Bombyx mori: one gene and its partners. The protein of the gene in region 2 purifies or fractionates together with the protein of the main gene of each other region. This does not show direct contact. Links are inferred from orthologs where the notes say so. Each region holds a gene or a part of one and is shown on either strand. Other genes may lie near its edges. The genes, in order: Golgi SNAP receptor complex member 1, BET1-like protein and golgi SNAP receptor complex member 2.

Evidence for each region.
Region 1: the proteins of BET1-like protein (region 2) and Golgi SNAP receptor complex member 1 purify together in Homo sapiens (affinity purification with mass spectrometry; 3 studies listed by BioGRID and IntAct, with this or other methods). This does not show direct contact. The link is inferred for Bombyx mori from reciprocal best matches to the Homo sapiens genes BET1 and GOSR1.
Region 3: the proteins of BET1-like protein (region 2) and golgi SNAP receptor complex member 2 purify together in Homo sapiens (affinity purification with mass spectrometry; 3 studies listed by BioGRID and IntAct, with this or other methods). This does not show direct contact. The link is inferred for Bombyx mori from reciprocal best matches to the Homo sapiens genes BET1 and GOSR2.

The regions. Positions count from the first base shown.
Region 1 is NC_085122.1:10,010,504-10,018,062, reverse strand, and holds part of Golgi SNAP receptor complex member 1, read left to right. Parts: intron 1-1,158; coding exon 1,159-1,334; intron 1,335-1,752; coding exon 1,753-1,842; intron 1,843-3,981; coding exon 3,982-4,130; intron 4,131-5,073; coding exon 5,074-5,190; intron 5,191-6,743; coding exon 6,744-6,864; 3' UTR 6,865-7,559. UniProt on the Homo sapiens protein: Involved in transport from the ER to the Golgi apparatus as well as in intra-Golgi transport. It belongs to a super-family of proteins called t-SNAREs or soluble NSF (N-ethylmaleimide-sensitive factor) attachment protein receptor.
Region 2 is NC_085114.1:8,350,919-8,357,357, reverse strand, and holds BET1-like protein, read right to left. Parts: upstream 2,975-6,439; 5' UTR 2,692-2,974; coding exon 2,353-2,691; 3' UTR 2,260-2,352; downstream 1-2,259. UniProt on the Homo sapiens protein: Required for vesicular transport from the ER to the Golgi complex. Functions as a SNARE involved in the docking process of ER-derived vesicles with the cis-Golgi membrane.
Region 3 is NC_085121.1:9,513,197-9,521,555, forward strand, and holds the start of golgi SNAP receptor complex member 2, read right to left. Parts: upstream 4,348-8,359; 5' UTR 4,089-4,347; coding exon 3,955-4,088; intron 3,622-3,954; coding exon 3,516-3,621; intron 3,381-3,515; coding exon 3,200-3,380; intron 1,171-3,199; coding exon of another isoform or gene 1,166-1,170; exon of another isoform or gene 248-1,165; intron 1-247. Other genes in the region: neuronal membrane glycoprotein M6-b, read left to right, coding at 6,030-6,779. UniProt on the Homo sapiens protein: Involved in transport of proteins from the cis/medial-Golgi to the trans-Golgi network.

The DNA of each region.
Region 1 (7,559 bases), on a different chromosome or scaffold from region 2:
TATTAAAAATTAAACACATTGTAACATCTTCGTTTTATTCAACATTGAGTTGTCATGTTTGTTTATAAACAGTACATAATATTTTATTTAGATCGTTACCATCAGCTACTAAAGAACAAAAAAATCTTTAGTGCTCGCTAAGGTGGTCCTTTAACAATATATCAACTATCATCAGCACAATTTTATTGTTTTAATTTAAATAAAACGGAATGTATTAGCCAAAGTACATTACTAAAATACATAGTTTGTACTAAAAACAAGATGCCTCACAGAACAATGATTTTGAAGAAGTGGTCACATACAAATTACCTGTCACCATGAAAGAAGGTTGGAGATTAATTAGTTTAGAGATTAACAAGATAAATGTGTCATACAGGTCCCGTGCACTAAGAATATTAGTTAGCTATCGGATAATGTTAGACATTTAATTGTTTTATTCAATACTATAGTACCACTATAATGATAACCACACATATTGAAGTGATAGCTAAAATGTGATATTTGTGTTTTTCATCAATAAAATAAGTAATAAGAATAAATTATAGTCTTCATACTTGAATATGACTGTTAGTATTTAAGTTTGAGCTATTGTTAACCTTTTCCTGGTATTATTTTACCTTATGCCTATGGTGTCATTATTTATTAATAATAAATAATAATAAGTAACTTAATAATTTAGATATTCGGAAAATATTTAAAAATTATTATCAAAGGTAATATGATTGGTGTAATAGATCATACTTTAGTTGTCTATCTTTGTGATGATATAAAACACATCATTACATTATTTTGTAGATATTGAGCATATTGTATTATAAATTTTCATTTGTTTTTACAATTCAAAGAAATAATTAAAATAACATTTACGGTGTGGCGGGTAGCCATCATACAACGCAGGATATTTGACAGATGCCTGAATCTCGCTTACGACATTCTCAAGATAAACTTGCATATATACAAGTTCCGAACAACAAAATTCGTCGTCGTCGTCGTATATTCTCCAAAACAGTTTAATCTAAACTGAAACTAGATAACAAAAACTGTAAAGTATTCAAAATGCAGGAAATTATATAATGTAAATAAAAAATGTGTGGTTGAGCCGTAAAAATTATTTTAATTATGTATTGTGTATGACATGTATGCCCTTTTTTATTTCAGAGCTAAGAAGGCAAGCTCGGACCCTAGAAAATGACATAGATGTGAAACTTGTCGCATTTAGCAAACTGGGTATCAGTTCAGGTTCGGCCAATATTAATTCAGAGACTGCCCCTCTCATAAACAGTGATGATATGTTTGATACCATGTCTATGGAGCTGCAGCAGCTACTTAATCAGGTAATTGTTATATATAATCTAAACTAGCTAACTTGTCTTTACAAAAGATCCAAAGTGAGTCAAGTGTCAGATAGCTGTTTGTCTGATTCTTATATAAATCATAGAGGGCAATGGTTCGTCTTTAATAAAATATAATGCAGCAGTTGGCAATGAATACAAAAACTAAATTATCATCATCTATGAAATCATTGACCTCTTTGAAGGATCACTACAATGACATGTCTTGCACTGTTCACATCCAATAAACTTTTTACTAGCTTATTTATAGAAATATCTGTGAAAACATAGATAATACAGCTGTGAGCTTACAATGAGATATTTGTTACTATTAAGACATCTAAGTAACAAAACTAAACATCAAATTAATCAGATACCATCTTAATACTTGTTTATGGATAATATAATTCCAATTTCTCAGTTATCATCAATAAATGACAAAATGGCCGACATAGCCCCAAGTGGAGCAGCCACAATGCACACAATCAAACGGCACAGAGAAATACTAATGGTTTGTATGCATGTATTAATTAATATGACTTAATTGGTTTAAAATTAAATAAATTAATTAATTGGTTTAAATTTAATTAATTGGTTTGGTATCTTAATTGGAGACTTTCAATGTACCTTCTGTGACATTAGGATAAAAGTGGAACTAAAAACACTGTCAAATTTGCTTAACTTATCTCTATTAACAAATATGTATTATGAATGTAGAAGTTTGTATTTATATGTTTATTTGATTACTAAATGATACACCCATGTACGCAATATATAAAAAATAGGTTACTTTACTCTTGCTGATGGGAAGACCAGCTCGTTACCTGTTTGCTGTAAGTGGTTACTGGAGCCCATAGACATCTACAACGTAAATGCGCCACCCACCTTAAAACCATACAAAGCATAATGTGAATGACGTTAGTAGATAAGCCTGTCAGTCAAAACTCTTGACTGCTTTGTTGCAGAAATAGATAGAATTGTGCCTGGAGAATTCAAACCCCGGCAAAGTTGCATGTAATTTTGCCTATATGGTGTCAACCTGGAATAGGAGTCTACAGTATTCACCAGATAATGGAAAGCAGAGTTCTCAGCTTACTGATAGTAGGGGTACTGTAAACTCTCACGTACCATAGTTCTGCATTTTCAAACTTTTCAAACTCGTCGAATCTAGTGCAGCACGCCAATGTGTGATCCACTGTGTCATGGCGTCCTGACCGCCATTGCACGCTGCGAACATCGCAGTACGGCGATGTTTTCGCGGGTCAGGGCGCGGCACCAAACGGGAGCGCCGCAGAGTGCCTCAATAAGCCTCGCGTTGTAGTAGGCCTCTCGTTGTAGTGGGTCTCGCGTTGTAGTAGGCCTCGCGTTGTATGAGGTCCCACGTTGTATGAGGTCCCGCGTTGTGTAAGGTTTCGCGTTGTATGTGGTCCCGAGTTGTATGGGGTCCCGCGTTGTATGAGGTCCCGCGTTGTATGGGGTTCCGCGTTGTATTGGATCCCGCCTTATATGAGGCCTCGCGTTGTATGGGGTCCCGCGTTGTATGAGGTTCCGCTTTGTATGAAGTCCCGCGTTGTATGAGAGCTCGCGTTGTATGTGGTCCCGAGTTGTATGAGGTAACGCGTTGTATGGGGTCCCGCGTTGTAGGGAGTCCCGCGTTGTAGGGGGTCCAGCGTTGTACTAGGTCTCGCGTTGTATGAGGTCCCGCGTTGTAAGAGATCTCGCGTTGTATGAGATCTCGCGTTGTATGAGGTCCCGCGTTGTATGAGGTCTCGCGTTGTAGTAGGTCTCGCGTTGTATGAGGTCCCGCGTTGTATGAGGTCTCGCGTTGTAGTAGATCTCGCGTTGTATGAGGTCCCGCGTTGTATGAGGTCCCGCGTTGTATGAGGTTCCGCGTTGTATGAGGTCCCGCGTTATATGAGGCCTCGCGTTGTAGCAGGTCCCGCGTTGTATGAGGTTCCGCTTTGTATAAGGTCTCGCGTTGTAGTAGGCCTCGCGTTCTATGAGTTCCCGCGTTGTATGAGGTCCCAGGTTATAGAGGGCAACGCGTTATAGTAGGTCTCGCGTTGTATGAGGTCCCGCGTTGTATGAGGTCTCGCGTTGTAGTAGGTCTCGCGTTGTATGAGGTCCCGCGTTATATGAGGCCTCGCGTTGTAGTAGGTCCCGCGTTGTATGAGGTTCCGCTTTGTATAAGGTCTCGCGTTGTAGTAGGCCTCGCGTTCTATGAGTTCCCGCGTTGTATGAGGTCCCAGGTTATAGAGGGCAACGCGTTATAGTAGGCCTCGCGTTCTATGAGGTCTCGCGTTGTATGAGATCTCGCGTTGGGTTTTTTCAAAAAGTCTCGCGAGCCGGTTGTTGCCCATGTTCTAAAGTCTAAAATTTTTTTTATTATTGCCTTAGTAGGCAGAGAGCATACGGCCGACCTGATATGGTGAGTGGTTACCATCGCCCATGGACTTCAGTAATGCCAGGGGCAGAGTCAAGCCGCCGCCTACCGTAAGTTACAACGGCTGACCCACCCTTCAAATCGACGCATTACTGCTTCACGGCTGAAATACCTGGTGGGACCTGCCCGTGCGGACCCACAAGAGGTTCTGCCACCAGTAAAAACGTACGTGTGACTGAAACGTCGTATCAAACCATAATTTCGCAGGACTACCAGCAAGAGTACTCCCGCACGTCAGCCCGCGTGTCGGCGCGGCGCGAGCGCGAGGAGCTGCTTCGGGGCGGCTCCCCGACTCCGCCCGCCGCGGGACTCAGCAGACGCGACCAGTACGCGAAGGAAGCCAACCATTTGCACAGGTGTGATATACGGTTTTTCTTTTTTTGTATATTCTATGCCTTTGTTGTCTCTATATCGAGGGACTTTTTGGCGGTAACGCGAGGAGTGAAGTCGTTGTGATTTGTTTTATTTTGTCTATTTAGTGTTTCTTCGGGCTTAAATGTAAATTAATGGTGGTTTATTAACTGTTCAATATCTGTGAAAGTGCATAAAGCCAAGAAAGAGACAAAGCCGTTGTTCTCCGGTTCCTCCAAAAAGTGCACTGAAAAAATCTCAGTAAATGACCACCATTTTACTGAGATTATATTTCATTCCATATCATCTCATCTCATTTCATTTAATTTGACTTTGACATTCAATGACTGGGATGATTAATTTAAGAAATTAATCATCCCAGTCATTCGCTTCATTTTCTTCATTTCAGACTTCATTTCATTTCACTCCATATAATCATTTTTCATATTAATAAGAATATAAATTAAAATAAGACATGACTTAAAGGTCTTAGTTACCAGGTCTAAAATTCCTTAAAAAAATCTATATCGAGCAAGGATTAATAAGACACGTGTTTAGTTAATAAATTTAAATTCAAGCGCAAAAAACGATACCAGAAAACAATTCTAAGTGAAGATTAAAGTGCGTCATAGTGTTACTACACCAGTAGCGCAGTGAATATTACTGCGTATTACATATTAATGAGTAGTGTAACTATACTGACCGCTCAGAACTCATATCTCAAGGTGGGCGGCGGTATTTACGTTGTAGACGTTTATGGACTCCAGTAACCACTTAACACCAGGTGGACTGTGAGTTCGTCCACCCGTCTAAGCAATAAATAAATAAAAAGATGATGAATAGACATTCGGAACAGCTCTTGATTTTGATTCTTAGAACTGAACATTTAGTATTTGTCTTTCTTTTTTGTTTGGCCAGAGTATTAATTTGGTCGTTTTCCCATTTCAGTTCCCACATATTAGTCGATGAACAAATAAACATAGCGATGGAAGCTCGCGACCACCTCTCCTCGCAACGGCAAACCTTCAAACGGATGCAGACCAGGTTCAACGATATCGCCAACAGGTAAATAAATGTTAAAACATTTTTTTATTTTCAAACATAAAAGCTATAAGACAATTCAGGAAGCTAACTATGTTAGATAATTTCACACACACACACACGCACACACGCACGCACACACACGCACGCACGCACACACACACACGCACGCACGCACACACACACACGCACGCACGCACACACACACACACATTCTCTTATATATTCGTAAATACTAGCAGACCCGACAGACGTTATTCTGCACGCACAAATAAATGGAATGAATGAATGATGCATACACAAAAATTCATTCAAGTCGATCCAGCCGTTTAGTTGCAGTATATATAAATAACCTAGATACCGACTGCAACGTCATCTGCCGGGTTGAATTGTGAATCAACCATCCAAGGTGCCACATAAACGCATACAAAAAAAAATCATTCAAATCGGTCCAGCCGTTTAAGAGTTCAGTGACATACACACGTACAGTAGAATTATATATTTATTGATGAATTTCATATCAATTCGACCTATGGTTAAAAAAATAGAAATCACTGTCACCAGCGCCACCTATCCGTCACTAACGTAACTATATTCGGACTGGTCATATCGACTTATAAATATTGGGTGAGGTTTCATATCGATTAGAATGTTTTTCGAGTTTTAGGTGAACCTACACACACATGTACATACAGATTAAAGTTTTTTTAAGTTGTTGTGGTCTAACGGATAAGGGTCCGTTCCCATAGAAGACCATAGACATCAACAACGCGAACACCGCAACCCACCTTGATACATGAGTTCTAAGTCTCAGTATTTACATTACAACGGCTGCCCCACCCTTCAAACCGAAATGCCTTACTGCTTCACGGCAGAAATAGGCAGGGCGGTGGTACCTACCCGTGCGGACTCTCAAGACGTCCTCCCAAAAGTAATATAAAACTTGTTCAGTGTGTGTTAGTGGGAGTTTTTTAACGTTCTCGATAGCGTAAGAGTTAACTCAAATTTGTATGCAATTGGAACAGCGCCCCTAGCGGCAAACGTTCCAACTCCATACAAATTTGAGTTAACTTACATATAAACCTAGTGTTCATTTTACTCATGTCTACTATAATTCTTCAAATTATCGCCATGTATTAACTTTAACACAATTACGCACTTATTGGATCTTTCACTTCATCAACGAGGGTTAACTGGAAGAGAATGCCTGCATGGCGTTAAGTTCGCCTTTGTACAATATTTTTGTGCAATAAAGATTTTTTTATTCATTCATTCATTCAACTTTTACTCGATCGAGAACGTGAAAAAACTCGAACTGTTTAGTTCGAGTTTACACTGTATCTGTATCAGTGTGCTTAGTGCGAGTTTTGTAACGTTTTCGGTAGCGTAAAAGTTAGCTCATATTTGTATGGAATGGAATCGTTTGCGTACTTTTACCGCTAGGGGCGCTGTTCCAACTGCATACAAAACTGGGCAAACTTACGCGATCGAGAACGTTAAAAAACTCGCACTAAGCACACTGAACTGTTCAGTTCGAGTTTACACTGTATCTGTAATGATAATTCGATCGTCCCCAGATTCCCGATGTTGAACAGTCTGATGTTCCGTATAAACGCTAGGAAGCGTCGCGATTCCCTAATCGTGGGCGTGGTGGTAGCGGTCTGCACCTTCCTCTTGCTCATGTACGCCTTCCATTGAAACTGTGATCCGATAAAGACTGTAGTTAACTAGATTTTAAGGTATCGTATTATAGTGAACTAAGACGCCTCGATTTGACAACCATATTGAATACGATGTCCAGTCGTAGGTGTGGTGAAGCTTAAAGGCGGAAACACATTATTAAAACGCGACGTAACGCAACGTGTCGACACCCGATTTACACCGTGCACATTACCAACACGCGACCCCACGACATAGCAGCAATCTGTAGTGAAAACAGCTAACAGCAGTGGAAATGTATAGTTGTGTACTATGGATTTAATAAATAGCTCTCACAAAAGTTACCACAACTATATAGGCGTATACAATATCAATTTGTTTTTTTAAAGTAATAAATAATATTTTCAATAAAACTTACTGTTTATATTCATTTGCTCGGCAATTTATTCCCATGCATTATTTCTCGTTGTATGATCCCTGTATATAGCTCATGCATCAAATTCATGCCATATAAAACAGGATATCGTTTTACCAACGCTTAAAAGGAGACTCCAATCAATGTATTGTTTTGACTCGTATTTGAAAATAAAGAATTTTTGTATTTTTTTTGTATTTGTACCAACTCAATTAACTGGACGTCGGTCATTTCAAATGCTAAACGCTAAATAAATGCAAACAATAATATTAAATTGGCATAAATTCTGTTTGACAGTGTGAAGAATAGGGATGGGCTC
Region 2 (6,439 bases):
TAAATTGTCATTTCACATCACTATTGTAATATGTCAAAACGACCATCATAGCGTGCCGATAGTGTAAGTAGTAATTCTATAATCTGTGCTGTTACACCGGTCACTCACATGCGCACGAATACGCAAACCCGCAAGTGTAGGACGACATTTGCAAATGACTATGCAAAGTTTTCGCTGCATTCGTGGTTTTCCAAGTTGTGTCGGTTTTTTAACAGACATCAAAGCGCGCGAACCTCTAACCTTCGCGTAGTCTCCCACACATTCGCTTGCCCAGTTGCGCCGACAATTGCAAAGGTAACGGACGTATCGCCATTTTCATAGTTCGTGACGTCTACTGTGTAGCGTATCTTCATCAAAAGAAATCCCATAAAAACAGCATGGCTGTTAATGATGTCTGGGAAAGAATTAAAAACTCTTTTTCTCTTCAATGTTCTATTGACGAATTAAAAAGGAGGAGAAATTCGTAAGACATTCGTAAACAAGTGTAGGAGGAAGCGCAAACGGGTTCGCGCGCTTTGATGTCTGTTAAAAAACCGACACAGCTTGGAAAATCACGAATGCAGCGAAAACTTTGCATAATCATTCGCAAATGTCGTCCTACACCTGCGGGTTTGCGTATTCGTGCGCATGTGAGTGACCGGTGTAATACTAACGGCTCAGTGACTTTTTTGGCGGGAACGCGAGGAGTGAAGTTGTGTGATTTGTTTTTATTTTGTCTATTTAGTGTTTCGCCAGCTTTAAATGTGTAATAACGGTGGTTTATTAACTGTTTAATATCTGTGAAAGTGCACAAATGTGGGAAAATGAAACAAAGCCGCTGGACGTAACTTCTCGGGATCCCCCAAAAAGTCCACTGAGACAGTCTTAGTAAATAACCATCATTTTACTGAGATTATATTTCATCCATATCATCTCGTTCGTCTCATCTCATTTCATTTCATTTTATGCCATGTTTAATAATATTAATCAACTTCATTACATTTCACTTCATATTATCATGTGCAGAGTTAATTACTACATTAATCAAATTACTTTCTCAACATCAATTATCTATACCGTACCACGCTGCTAATTTCATTCAAACTTACACTAATATTAATAATGGTTAACACGGACAGTTTCCTTCGTTTTTTATTATTCATAAACTGTAAATAATTAAAACGGCGAATTATAAAAATATTATTATTTGACACTGGCTAATACACAAAACGTGCCAGAACCAAAAAAAAACTAATAAATTAATGTGTGAACTAAATAGAAAGAGATGTGAGATACATAATACATATTACTTAGTGAGAAAAGATGACCTAAGTATTTGAAATAGGCACTAAAATTTATAAATAAACATAAATGAAAATACTTTTTACTTGCTTATTTCTTGTTATTTTTGCCAAATTTTTAGATAGCGCATTTTGATGTTTATATTAGCTACTTCAGAAATTGAATGTATTTGCTATGGAAGGTAACAAAATACAATTCTACTTTGAAGAAACAAGTTTAAACAGAATAAATCTTTTTAAAGAAGCTTTATCCAGTGCAGAAAACGGAAGAGTTCTTTATATTCTCCATGAAGAATTAAGTCAGCTACCCACATTATCACAAGATTTAAATTCAGTGAATAGACATTTCATGAAAATGATTAGTTTTCTTTATGTAGAAACTATTGAAGCACTTATAGACAGTGTTTCAACACTACCAGATTGGCAGAATGTGCCCTCAACAATTATTTTAGATGACTTAAGCAAGTTCTTCAGTAGAAACAACCAACAAAACATTTATGGGATTATTGCTCTGTTGATGGACAGTGTACGGATCTGTTCTGTTTCACTCGGAAAGCCATGTAATTTATTTGTTGCTGTAAGTAAAGAAGTTGTAGGCGATGATTTTTGTAAAATCTTAAAAGAATTATACTTTTGATTGAAGTTTAAAAACTAGTTAGCATAATTATTATAGGGAATACTTACTAATGATCACATATGAGCATCATTTTAAGTATTATACTTATTTGTTGCATAAGTAGGTGAGTGAGTTAAGTGGATACCTAAGCCTATAGATAACAATCAAAACTTAAATACCGCTGACTATCTTTAGAGCTAAGGTTAAAGGCTCAATTGTATTTTATTATGGCTGTCCTTCAAACAACATATGGTTACTTAGTGAAGGAAAAAATTAAATGTTGACACCTACCTGTGCAAGCTAGTACTTATCATTGAAACATATTGTAAAAGTTGTGGAATAAGTGAAATAAAATAAACATTTAATTTATACATATGTTTTATTTACATTTCAACATATACAAAATTTATTTCGAAACACTTATAATACACAGGAGTGATGGATGGGTAATGAAAATCATCTAAATTTTAAAATAATATACAACAAAAAGAACACAAAAATGGAGAAGAGGAATAGATAGAAAATATAATAGTTGTGGTTCCCTTTGCCAAGCCTTAAAACTCTTCCCATGGTTTTTCCAAGGAAACCTGAGCTTCTGTCAACATCATCATCTAATCCACGCAAAAGTTTTTCTTGGTCCCTTACTTCATTGCCTAACTCAATGGAAATGTATTTAAGTGAAGATATCTTGCCACTGAGTTCTTCAGCCATTCGTTCATTTTCATTTTCGATAGTATCTTCCGTAGCTACTCTGGGCACTGGCTGATAGTGGTAGCCTTCGCGGGCTCGCCTCATATTCGTTCGGCCCGCCGTTTTGATTAGCAGCAAGACACAAGAGTGATGATGATAATCAGGTCTTGGTTAATTACGTCCTTCGTTAGACGTTTATTTAATTTTGGATCTACTTGCCGCCTATTTACTATAAAATATTGTTTGTTTTTGTCAATTTGTAATAGGATATGAAAAAAAAACACTAATTTAATAATCTGGACACATTGAAAACATACATGGTTTACAGTAAGTATATAATTTGCTTTTATGTAGTTGTGTTAGATGTGATAGTCTCCTACGTGTTTATCTGACTCAAATGTCAACTGTCAATAGTAGTAGTAGCTCCATTTATCCAACTGAAAAGACGAAGGTCTCCTAATATTATGCATATTTCGTTTTATGACAAATTTAATGGACCGCATTGAAATAATGTTGATTAATTTGAAATTTTAATCATTTGAGATGAAATTAAATGAAACTTGATAATGCGGGTCTCAGTAAATGGTGTTTATTTACTTAAACTTTCTCAGTGAACGTTTTGAAAGAACTCGAGAAGCTACGTCCAGTGGCTTTGTTTTATTTTCCCACAATGTGCACTTACACAGATACTAAACAGTTAATAAAGCACCGCTATTATAAATTAACAAAATAGAACAATTCACACAACTTCGCTCCTCGCGTTCCCGTCAGAGTTCGACGTGCGAACTAGCTCATAGACACAACTCACTGGGTTTCTCACCGGGTCTTTTCAGTGGTTTACAATTCCGATCCGGTGGTAGATTCTGCGAAACACTACTATTGCTAGGGCCAGTGCTAGCAAACTCTCAGATTGAATGACCTCACCTACCAGTCGGTGATTAGCTGGAATAGACCCTTAGGGCTACCAGCGATTAGGTAGAGAAAAAAGTCTTCAACGCTCATCTTTCAGTCTACCAGTCACATAGTAGAACTGAAATCCTACGAGCTGATGAAGGAAAATACTTAGGGCTATCCCGCAATAGGCGAAACACAGAGAATTCTGTGTTACAGTACCGTGACACGTAACTAACGATGAGCACGACCACAAAATTAAGGAACAAGTGGAAGCATATATAAAAACAAAATATTGCAATTCCTAATACTCACGAGACAATCAGCTTCAGAACTAAAAAATAAATAAATAAACCTACTAATATTGATTTTTTTTATTGCTTAGATGGGTGGACGAGCTCACAGCCCACCTGGTCTTGTGGTTACTGGAGTCCATAGACATCTACAACGTAAATGCACCATCCACCTTGGTTTCACTGCAAAAATAGGCAGGGTGGTGGTACCTACCCGTGCGGACTGGACACATACTGCCCAATTTCCCAAATTAATCGTGGGTTTTCACAATTATTATAGATAAATTAAAAAAATTATATTTAGAAAGTAGATTATGCAGATAAATATTTCTTGTTTACATCGCAACGTTGAGGCACTTTGATTTAAAAAATGTCGTGATTCGTACTTTATTTAAATTACAATTTTCAACGTTGATAATAATATCAGAAGGCCCTTTAAAAAAAAAACATGGAAACTGGTTTTTCGAACAGTTTAATTAAGCATTGGCGCACTCATATCGCATGAAAAGTTTTTAATCTGTTCAATCAAGAAAATGTATTTCCGAAAATGCTTTCAAAGTAATTAAACGATAATTCAACCTGCAAACTTTTTCTTATCCCTTTTAAGCCGCCGTTAATTAGCTATTCCCGGGCCCTACAACGTCTTTTTAACATTTTCTTTTGATTTTGCACGCGCATGAACTTCATGCTTTTTCGACTTGGTGCTCGACTTCCCATCTGCCGCTCAGAATTCGTGCGCTTGGAAGTTGGAACGGGTTTACATAATATACCTTCTCTTGTGAACTTTTAATAAGTCGCTGAACGCAGAACGCAAAATAATTAATAATTTAATAAAACATGCTACATACATACTCAATTATTTTATTTTTCAATAATTATTATTGTACAAAGTTTTAACAGTCAGTAACTATCGAAGAATAAAGCTTTCTTATTACTACTTACATAAAAATTTAATGTGCCTCGAGGGGAATGTATTGCACATAGCAGTTGATTTCAGAACATAATATAGAAAAACTGATTGAACAAAAATTATAAATCTACATATACATAAGATTGTTGTTAATATTTTCTACTGAATTAAGTATCTAATTAATTTCAGTTTGTTTTTATTCACGCAGATATAAAATTAAAAAAAAACATTATTCAATGAATGCCTAGCTTTTTGCTGCTAAATAATAGTAGTCATATAATCCTTGAAACAAACTCAAATGATGACAGTAGCATATGAATAATATTATGTGATGAGTAGTCCATCAAGAATATGTATAATTAAATAAGATAGGCGATTAGCATTTAGAATATGTTAGAGAACCATCCCAGCTTCGCTGCAAAGTACTTATTATGTCGTAAACTATCATTCTGAGGGAGAAAAATCAAAACAGTTTGACGATCGACTACCACGTACCTAATCGTTACCACTGCGACTAACGCATCAGCTTTAGAGCCGGTATTCCTAAAACATACTTGGAGGAAGGTAGTTTAGGCAAGAAGACGAACATATTTAAAAAGTCAATCTACCCTCTGTATATGAAAACTAGATAAGTCTGTTTTTAAATTTCACGAGGTGACTTAATTAACGTTTTATCTTCTGTCGCGACAATGTTGTTTCTCGGATAGTGAAAAAACACACGTTTTCCCTTTAAAAATGTTTACGAAACCGAATGCGACTTTTTATAATACCCGAAAATCAACGATTTGAAGCCTCTGTTGAGAACCTCTGCAACGAAATCATAGATCCAAAGATAATGGATTCAGCTATTAAAAAAGTATTAACTGGTGAAACCCAGAATACGCTTCGGTATTCTGGGTTTCACCCACTAATACTACTATACTGGGTACTACCCCAAATAGTATGATAAACATAGATTTTTTGGAATTACTGGAGTGCCATATACTCTCCTATGATAATACGACAGAAACATTTTCTACAGCGCGAACAAAAATTTTACCAATTTTCATCACATTCCGATGAAAGATTTAGAAAGGTATGGAGGACAAACAAAACTCGAGTTCAGAGATACTATAAGCGTTTAAAAGTTTAGGTTATAAGCTAGGTTTGGGTTTTAGTTTGCTAAAAATTTCCTTGAATAGAAAGCATTATAGAATTTTGTCATAAGCAAGGTTTCTCACCTAATATGTCTCGTCTAATATTGATATAGTTTGTTCTGTCTAGTTTGAAATGAAAACGCTTACAACTTCTTTATTTCTGAACAATCTTTTATTTCGATTCCCTTGATTCGCTATTTACGAGGCATTAAAGATATTCAGTCAACTTGCCTATTTCTTATTTAACATATTAAGCTCTACAACAAAAATCGCACACGAAAAATAAATCCAATAAAAATATTAGTTTCTTTTGCAAAAAATATTTAAGCCTCATAATTAGCAGTGTTAATAGAATGCATTTCATAAGCCTACACGTCCCTCTTACAATTGTCCGTCCGTTAATTATAATAATATGTACTCAGAGAACCTCTAGGAAGTAATGACCTAGGTTCACTAATTTTAGGCTGCCGTTTGACTGTCATTTAATTTGAGTATTCTACCCAAATAACTATTTTGCTTTAGTGCTCAAGTGAAGCCTGACGTTATTTAAAGCTATAAAAGCAAACCTCTTAGTCAAATTTAGTTACCTGTAGGTAATCGCTCTGGATTTCATGACGTTTGAT
Region 3 (8,359 bases), on a different chromosome or scaffold from region 2:
GGCGGTGAGCTCGTCCACCCAACTAAGCAATAAATAAAAAAGCATGCAACTTGGTTTTCTGGTTCAAATTCTTTTATAACTAGGTAGACGTCACTTTACCGGATCTTTTCTATACACATAGAAGTTCAAAGTAAGTTATTCAATAAAGATAAAAACTCGGAATTCAATGAACAGATATAAAGAAGTCGTTTTTGCACCGCTTCAACCTTGCGGTGTTGTAAATGTCCGCGGTGTGCGTATATTTTTTGGCGACAATTATTTAATTGTAATTTAATATTATATGTAGTAAGTCCGGACTGGTAGGTGCCTCTCTGCTGCTCATTTCTATGAAGCAGTCGTGTGCCTCAGTTTGTACCTTTATAACTGTACAATTGACACCGTTTCACTATCGCCTACTGGTTCACATTATAAGTTTGTAAAATAAAAAATAAATAGTGCAATCAATATTTAAATAAGGTAGTAAAAGATTTTAACGAACACCATTATACGTTGACCATAAATTCCGAGTAGTGTTCCATTGCGTACTAAACAAAGGACCGAACCCCGAATCCCGTTTTTTTATTATTATTTTAGAACCGAGTCTTTTTGTCATCATCGTTTCAGTAATAACCGGCATGCGCGGCACAACAAAATCCTTCGTTTTCCATGGTCCACCGTATTTTTATTAGCTATTATCTCAATTTCATTTATTTAATTTTTCTAAATTAATGAATAATCATCCAGTGTAAATGTTTTAAATTGTTATTATCGTTAACTTCCCATGCGCAGGAAGAAGTCAAGGCCAAAATAATCAACACAATAAATTGTAACCGAAAAAAATGTATATTTTGTGACTACGTTATTTTATAAATATACTTGTTTGTTATGTTTAAATGAGTATCGGCATCAGAAACAATGGGACCAGTCGCATTAACGCGGTTTAATTAACAGTAATAATTATCCCTGCTCGGAGTTCAAGTGAATTAGACAACTCATGGCGTAGACTTCAGTGTATCTAATCTAGGTTACTTGGTAGTACATTTACCGGTTATTAATTATCTTGTTTATTTGTTGCCTTGAGGTGATCATGCGTGTTCACTAGGTCGGACGGGTTAGTCTTGTTTTACAATCGAAGTGACGGAAATATACGTCTTTCTACACTAACGTCAACAGACCCAAAACCAAAATGTGGTAAGTACCTACCTAGAATATAATTTACACTGTATTTGTAAACTGATAATTTCAAACGAATTTTATTCTTGAGTATTCCGAACGCGAATAAAATTTATTAGTTTTATTATTATTATTCACTTTGTAATTTTGTATACGTTGTGCATTTAATCTGAATATTTTATTAAGATTGCATAAAATGTTTTCACACTATACAAGTGAACGCAGCGACACTCCGTGTTCAACTTGCAAAATACATGACGTCATCAGGGGTCATAGTCTAAGTCGCGCTTGTTATTAGAACGTTGGAGGGGCAAGGGTTACTAATCAGGTTCTTTAATTTAATTTGAGAAGAAAGAAGACTTTATTTTTATTTTTAAACAAAATTTTGGTTTCTGGTATATCATCAGCTTACGAATTCAAAATAACTATTTAATTACAAACCCAGCTCAAATAAGTTTGTTTTTAAATAAAAAAATTCAGGCTTCATAAATTTCTTTGTCTAAGCCTTTAAAAAAAAAAACTAAAAATCAAATCCAACTAAAAAATAGAAAATAAATTTTAGTAAATTTGAGTAGTGTAAGAATATATGTTTTTATTGTATAAAAAGCGTGGGGTGCATGGTATCAGTAGTTATAAACATTTTATGAACAGATATGAGTAAAGGGTTATTTTGATAATATCCTGAAAAACATCCCACGCTTTTTTACAATAAAATCATTTTTTCTTACACTATTTTTAATTCAAATTTATTAAAATTTAATTCCTATTTTTAGTTGGATTTTCTATAAAAGCATATTTTGTTAGTTTTGTTAAACTGTTATTTATTTTCATTTATAAATGTGATAAAGATATATCATCTATGGGATACCGATTCTGTGTCAATTTATAAAACTCTGATGGTCTTGTTCATACATTTTAGAGCCCCCAGTGCATTCCCTGAGCATAGCATTAATTACCTCATCTCTATAGTTGATATTTTCAAACAACTACACCCATGCGCAAAGAATATTAATTAATTGTCATAATCAGCATTGTGAAAGTTATGGTTATATAGAATAGGTACAAAATTATTTATTAATATATATGTACTTAAATTAACAAAAGCATTACCAGGTTGACCCTACATTATCTATCAGTTCTAGATCATACACACAAGATTTATTGAAATCAGTACCGACAAAGACATAAAGATGGTTAGTTGGCTTTTTTTATTTTTATTTATTGCTTAGATTGGTGGATGAGCTCACAGCCCACCTAGTGTTAAGTGGTTACTGGAGTCCATAGACATCTACAACGTAAATGCGCCACCCACCTCGAGATATAAGTTCTAAGGTCTCAGTATAGTTACAACGGCTGCCGCACCCTTCGAACCGAAACGCATTACTGATTCACGGCGGAAATAGGCGGGGTGGTGGTACCTACCCGTACGGACTCCCAAGAGGTCCTACCATCAGTGATTACGCAAATTATAATTTGGCGGGTTTGATTTTTATTACACGATGTTATTCCTTCACCGTGGAAGTCAATCGTGAACATTAAAATTTGTTGAGTACGTATTTCATTAGAAAAATTGGTACCCGCCTGCGGGATTCGAACACCGGTGCATCGCTACATACGAATGCACCGGACGTCTTATCCTCTAGGCCACGACAACTTCTAAAACAACATAAATTTGGTGCAACATAAATTTGGTGCAACATAAATTTGCCTTAGAAATTTACAAATTTAGAATAACAATTTTCTATTGCACTTGAAAGTGTTTGACTGATTTCTAGTTGACATGGTCATTGTTCTGCCAGCTATATGTATCTGCTTAAATTTGATAGCGATGAGCCATGGCCATAAGCTGCTTACCCAGATATATGAAAACATTGCGAATCGAGATAAATTAAAATTATGAAATCAAAGCTAAACTTACTATTTTAAATAAAATTTACATTATTTGACTTTAAAAAAGAATAAACTACAAGTGAAAATATAGTTCTTATGGAACTCCAACTACAATTAGTTGTGATAAGTCAAAATTACAAATTCCAATTGATCGTACCTGTATGCAACATATCATCGACATGTCTATGTGAATTCTGCAAAGACGCTTGCTCTTGAGCTAAGTAGTCTACATTTATTTCTGTGTGATCATGTCCAAAACGCCGGTTCAAAAGTTGTTCCCTTTCAGCTAATTCTTGTTCCCGTTTTTGTCTTTTGTTTTGGGCATTTATAAGAGAAGCCTGTGGAGTGATATGTTTTCTTGTTTTAGCAAAAATCTGTCTCTGTCAATTGTCAGAAGTCTGTGAACAATCACATTGTCAGCCCAAGCTACATACATACACATTGGCTAATATACACACAGTACTTTTTTTTACCTGTATGTGTTTGTTATCATACTTCAGCTGGTCCACTCTCATTTTAGCCATAGACCTTTGATTTATTGGTGTTTTAAAAACATAAATATCTAGTTTTTCACAGTTCCTGGAGAATACAAATAAAATTTAAGTTTGGTTTGATCTTATTATATGTATTTTATTAACATTTAAATCTAGTTTGTCTAATAGTAAAATAATAATATCATTATAAAATATGTACAAATTGATGTAAATATGTATATTTTTAATGTACGATTTAAATTATCTTATAAATTTTACAGTTAAGCAGAAATGCCATTACGTTAAGTGGTTCCCAAGCCAGTTAGCTTGTAAATTATTAAATATGAAACAGAGAATTTAATGATCATAAGTTTTACTATTAGCAGTTTACAGTACATTTCAGATAAGAATAAAATACAAGCAAATTAATGTTACTTACGCATTGACTGTGTTTATCTTTGATTGAATTGCATTTTCTATTTGTTGGTGATTGGCTGGATCTCTCTCTAATTTATTAAAAAGATCTGTAGTTTCTTGTAGCAATTGATTTGTCTGATGGTATAATGTTTCCATATTGGTAATGTATTTTTTTAAATAGGATTTCAAATAATTTCAGTGGTCATTTATATTAAATTATTCATAATCACGTAAAATGTTTTCTTAAAGTTTTATATTATCGTATCAACGATAATAAATATTTATACTGTTTAAGTTAGGTAGATTGTGAACCTTTTCGAAGGGCAGCATTTGACGTGATCAAATCGTGACGACACTGACACGTCTGACACATGATGTGTCACACACATGACCAGCGTTGCCAACTCGAAATTCGTCAAGGTGGGAGATAGGTTTCTACAAGCTGGAAGTTTCCAACAAACCCTACTATGAAAAGTTGGTAGATCTACCACCCATACTTTTCAAGTCTTTTAGAGACCCTCCAATAAGAATCTGGCATCCTTAATTTACTTTTCGATTGGATAAGACATATTTGAACTATTTTTATTAGAAATCCAATGATAAAACAGAATTACAGGCCACTAATATTCAAAATATTAATAGAAAATAGTGATAATTGAAAAGAATAATAAAAAATGTGTGCGTGTACTAGTGTACACACGTAAGAAGTGAAACTTATTTATGGCCTTATTTTTCGAAAAATGATCTACATGCAACTTTCTAGAAATTGGTTAAATAAAGTTAAATTAGATAAAGTTTAAACAAAAGGATTTTATTATCATAGACATGAATACAAAAAAGATGGCGCGTAACGGAAAAATGTGACGCGTAACCGAAAAACGTGACGGTAAATTTTTTTCCAACGCCGATAAGGAAGTTTCACTTCAATAATAAAAAAAATGTTTCATTATTATTTTCATGGAGGTTTGATTTGAACTTTTTGAAAACTTCAAAAGTTGGTAGATTTTTGCTACAAAGTGGTAGGTTTGATTACGACACTAAAAGTTGGTAGAGTTGGCAGCACTGCATGTCACACATCACAAATTTCATTATACAATTCTTCGCTTTGTTCGTCCATTATTTAGACACAGAAAATGCAGCCCATACTGCCAAATATTTTATAACATAAGTCGAAGTCATGACTTTTGTATGCGATGTGAATGATCTTTGGACATTAAAACAAATTCAAAATCAGAACGGAATAATATGAAATTAATTAGGTAAGGTAAAGTAACATTGTCGGTCTTGGAAAAAATGATGAGGGTGAATGAACGTATTAAAAATCCAAGAAGCCACATCAAGCGATTTGGTTTGATTTTCCCAGCTTGTGCAGCTTATAGATGCTAGTGATTAATAAGGGCTTATATTTAAACCTTACCTTACATTTAAACCTTGAAAAAGAAACACTGAATATCAAAATAGTTATCTTCTATAATTAGACAAGTAAATAGAACATACTCTGCTTATAGGTAATTTTTATAAAAGCCGAGTAGATCTGAGAAACAAAAATGATAATTATGATGTGGTTTTCAATAAAAAGATGCGATGCGATGCGATTGCGATTTAAAGACTAAATAAAATAGATCAGAATTTATAGAATATATTAAATTAAATGAAACGAGATGAGGTATCATTAAATATTCTCAGTGAAATGACGGTTATTTATTGACACATTTTCAATGGACTTTTTAGAAGATCCCGACAAGCTACATGGGAAAAACTGCGGCTTGATTCATTTCCCTAATTAGTCTATTTTTACAGATGCTAAACAGTTAATAAGCCGTCGTTATTACACTAATTATGAAAAATAAAATAATTCTCATATTGCCAGAAAATTTCAGCAATTTTTATTTATTTTGTTCTGTTAATATGTGTACACTCAACTTTTGTTCGGTCGTTGGTTTGTTCGCCTTCGTCATCTTGACCATAGACAATAAGAATCTTGAATCTTGACATCAGTGAACTCAAAAACATTAAATAGTTTTTTGTTCAGTGTTTAATTGTGTATCTTCGGACCAAAAGTTTTGATTCTAAAAGTAAATAAGAATTAACAAAATAATGGGGGACGCGTGTCAAGCTTGTCTAACACGGGTGCCACATGCAACCCTTATCGCTACAATAATGTGTTGTCTAGGCGTGGGTGTGTTTTGTGGGACCATGTACCGTGGATCTGCACTCTCCATCCTTATGTTCGACGAAGTATTCCACTTTCGATTGATTTGGATTGAAGCCCTGCAGATGATATTCATTGTGGGAAGTGCATGCATGGCAGCACTAGGATTTATGTTACTTTGTCTAGGCTGTTTGACTACAGGTGCAACTCGCCAGAAAGTTTATCGGGCGTGGAGAGCTCGGGTCGGTGGGAGAATATCGTGTGCCGTTTTTATGATCATAACATATATTTTGACCTTTGTTTGGATAGTGTTGCTAGGATTTCTAGTAATAACAACATTTTTGTTCACAATATTCTGGAAATTATGTTCAAAACCAGAAAATATTGTATCATCAACTTGTATAGATTTCACTCAATTCGACTTCATGTTTCCTTCAACGGTGAAGCAAGAAGACATGAAAATATGCGAACCACACAAAATAAAACTTTTTTGCAAAGATTACGTTGAAAAAGCAGAATTTATGTTTATCCTTGCAATGGTGTCATGTATCTTAGTCATATTGAGTTTAGTGCATTATTTGATGTGCTTATCAGCTAATTATGCACATATCCGTGATCATGAAAAGTTCCAGGAACTTCAAGAGCTACAGTACTTGACCAACCCAGACTTGCATGCCTCTAAAGACCGTTTCTAGTATATGGCCCGCGCACCATTGCTGCGCTCACTAGAAGCTACCACAAAAATGTGACACGGTTAAACAGAACCCAACAATTAAATTCAACAAGTGTTCATTATTCAGTGAACAAAAGACTGACTATCAGTGAATTATGTGTAGAAAATAAGAGAAAGAAAAATGTAAACATATCACGGCTGATAAATATAAAAAATAATAGTTTTAGTTTTGTATTTTGTTACTTCTAACATTCCTTTGGTTGTTTAATTGAATTTTTATGAATTTTTATGATTTTCCATTCTATTATTGTTGTTTGTATGGCATAAGACATAAAATATGTGTACTTAATGTCTATATTATCTAATATAGTTTAAATTGAGTATATTGCATTTTATCATAGAACTTAGTACAAATATTACTAGCTACATTACTTAGTACAATTTTTATGGGCTCCGGTAACCAGTTAACACCAGGTGGGCTGTGAGCTCGTCCAACCACCTAAGCAATAAAAAAACAAATAACAGTATATTGAATGGAATGTATTATTATTTAAGATGATCAAAATTGTCAATTCAACTTTATAGTCTACTATGTATGTTGAGCAACAGTAGTTTAGACTGAACTGACTTCCCATAGATTAGACTGAACTGACTTCCCTCTATTCTTTTTTATGTCAATTGAAATAAACATTATATCCATAAGATGGAGTAAACCTATTAGCAGTTCATTAACATTGTAGATTTCATTTCAATTTCAAATTGCTGCTTTTGGGCCTGTATCGTACTGTATCATACAGACCCAAAAGATACATACAGTAAACCTATCACAAAATATGTAAAGGTGATTTTAGATGATTGCCATTATAATTTTAATAACAGTTGTTCAGATACTTCGTTAATAATGATAAAATTTTCAGAAGTACAAAATATTTTTATATCAACAGTCCACTATGGTAAGGGAATGTGTGTTAGATTATAATAATGTAGCGTTCTAGATTTAATAGTATTAAAGTGAAAGTTTTCATAATTTGTTACTGCTGCATTTTGAATACGTAACTCAATTTTTAATCAAATTTTATCCCACCACATATTTTTCTATTAAACCTTGCAAATTTGCACAATTTTTATTAATGTATAATAATAATTTAAGAAGCTTTTTTATGCTTATTTGTAAGTTCTACAGCTGTTTATGGCAACTAAAATTTTGTTACATTTATATAAATAAAATAAGTTTATCTATTTTATATATAAGTTTTTTCAATGACTTGTTTCAACCCAGAATAGCATTACCTTTTTTTTTTTTTTATTGCCTTTGTAGGCAAACGGGCATACGGCCCACCTGATGGTGAGTAGTTACCGTCGCCCATGGACTTCAGCAATGCCAGGAGCAGAGCCAAGCCGCTGCCTACCGTACCTCATTGCCCTTTGTTATTTCAATTATGTACTGTAAATAAATATAAAGACAATCAAAATGATTCGAAGTAATCAAAGCAGACAATAACAAATGTTTAAAATACCTATGATTCCAAATGATAAATAAAATTTGGGTCACTTTATATTATATTATATAATTACTTATTTACTGTGGCTTTTGTAATTTGT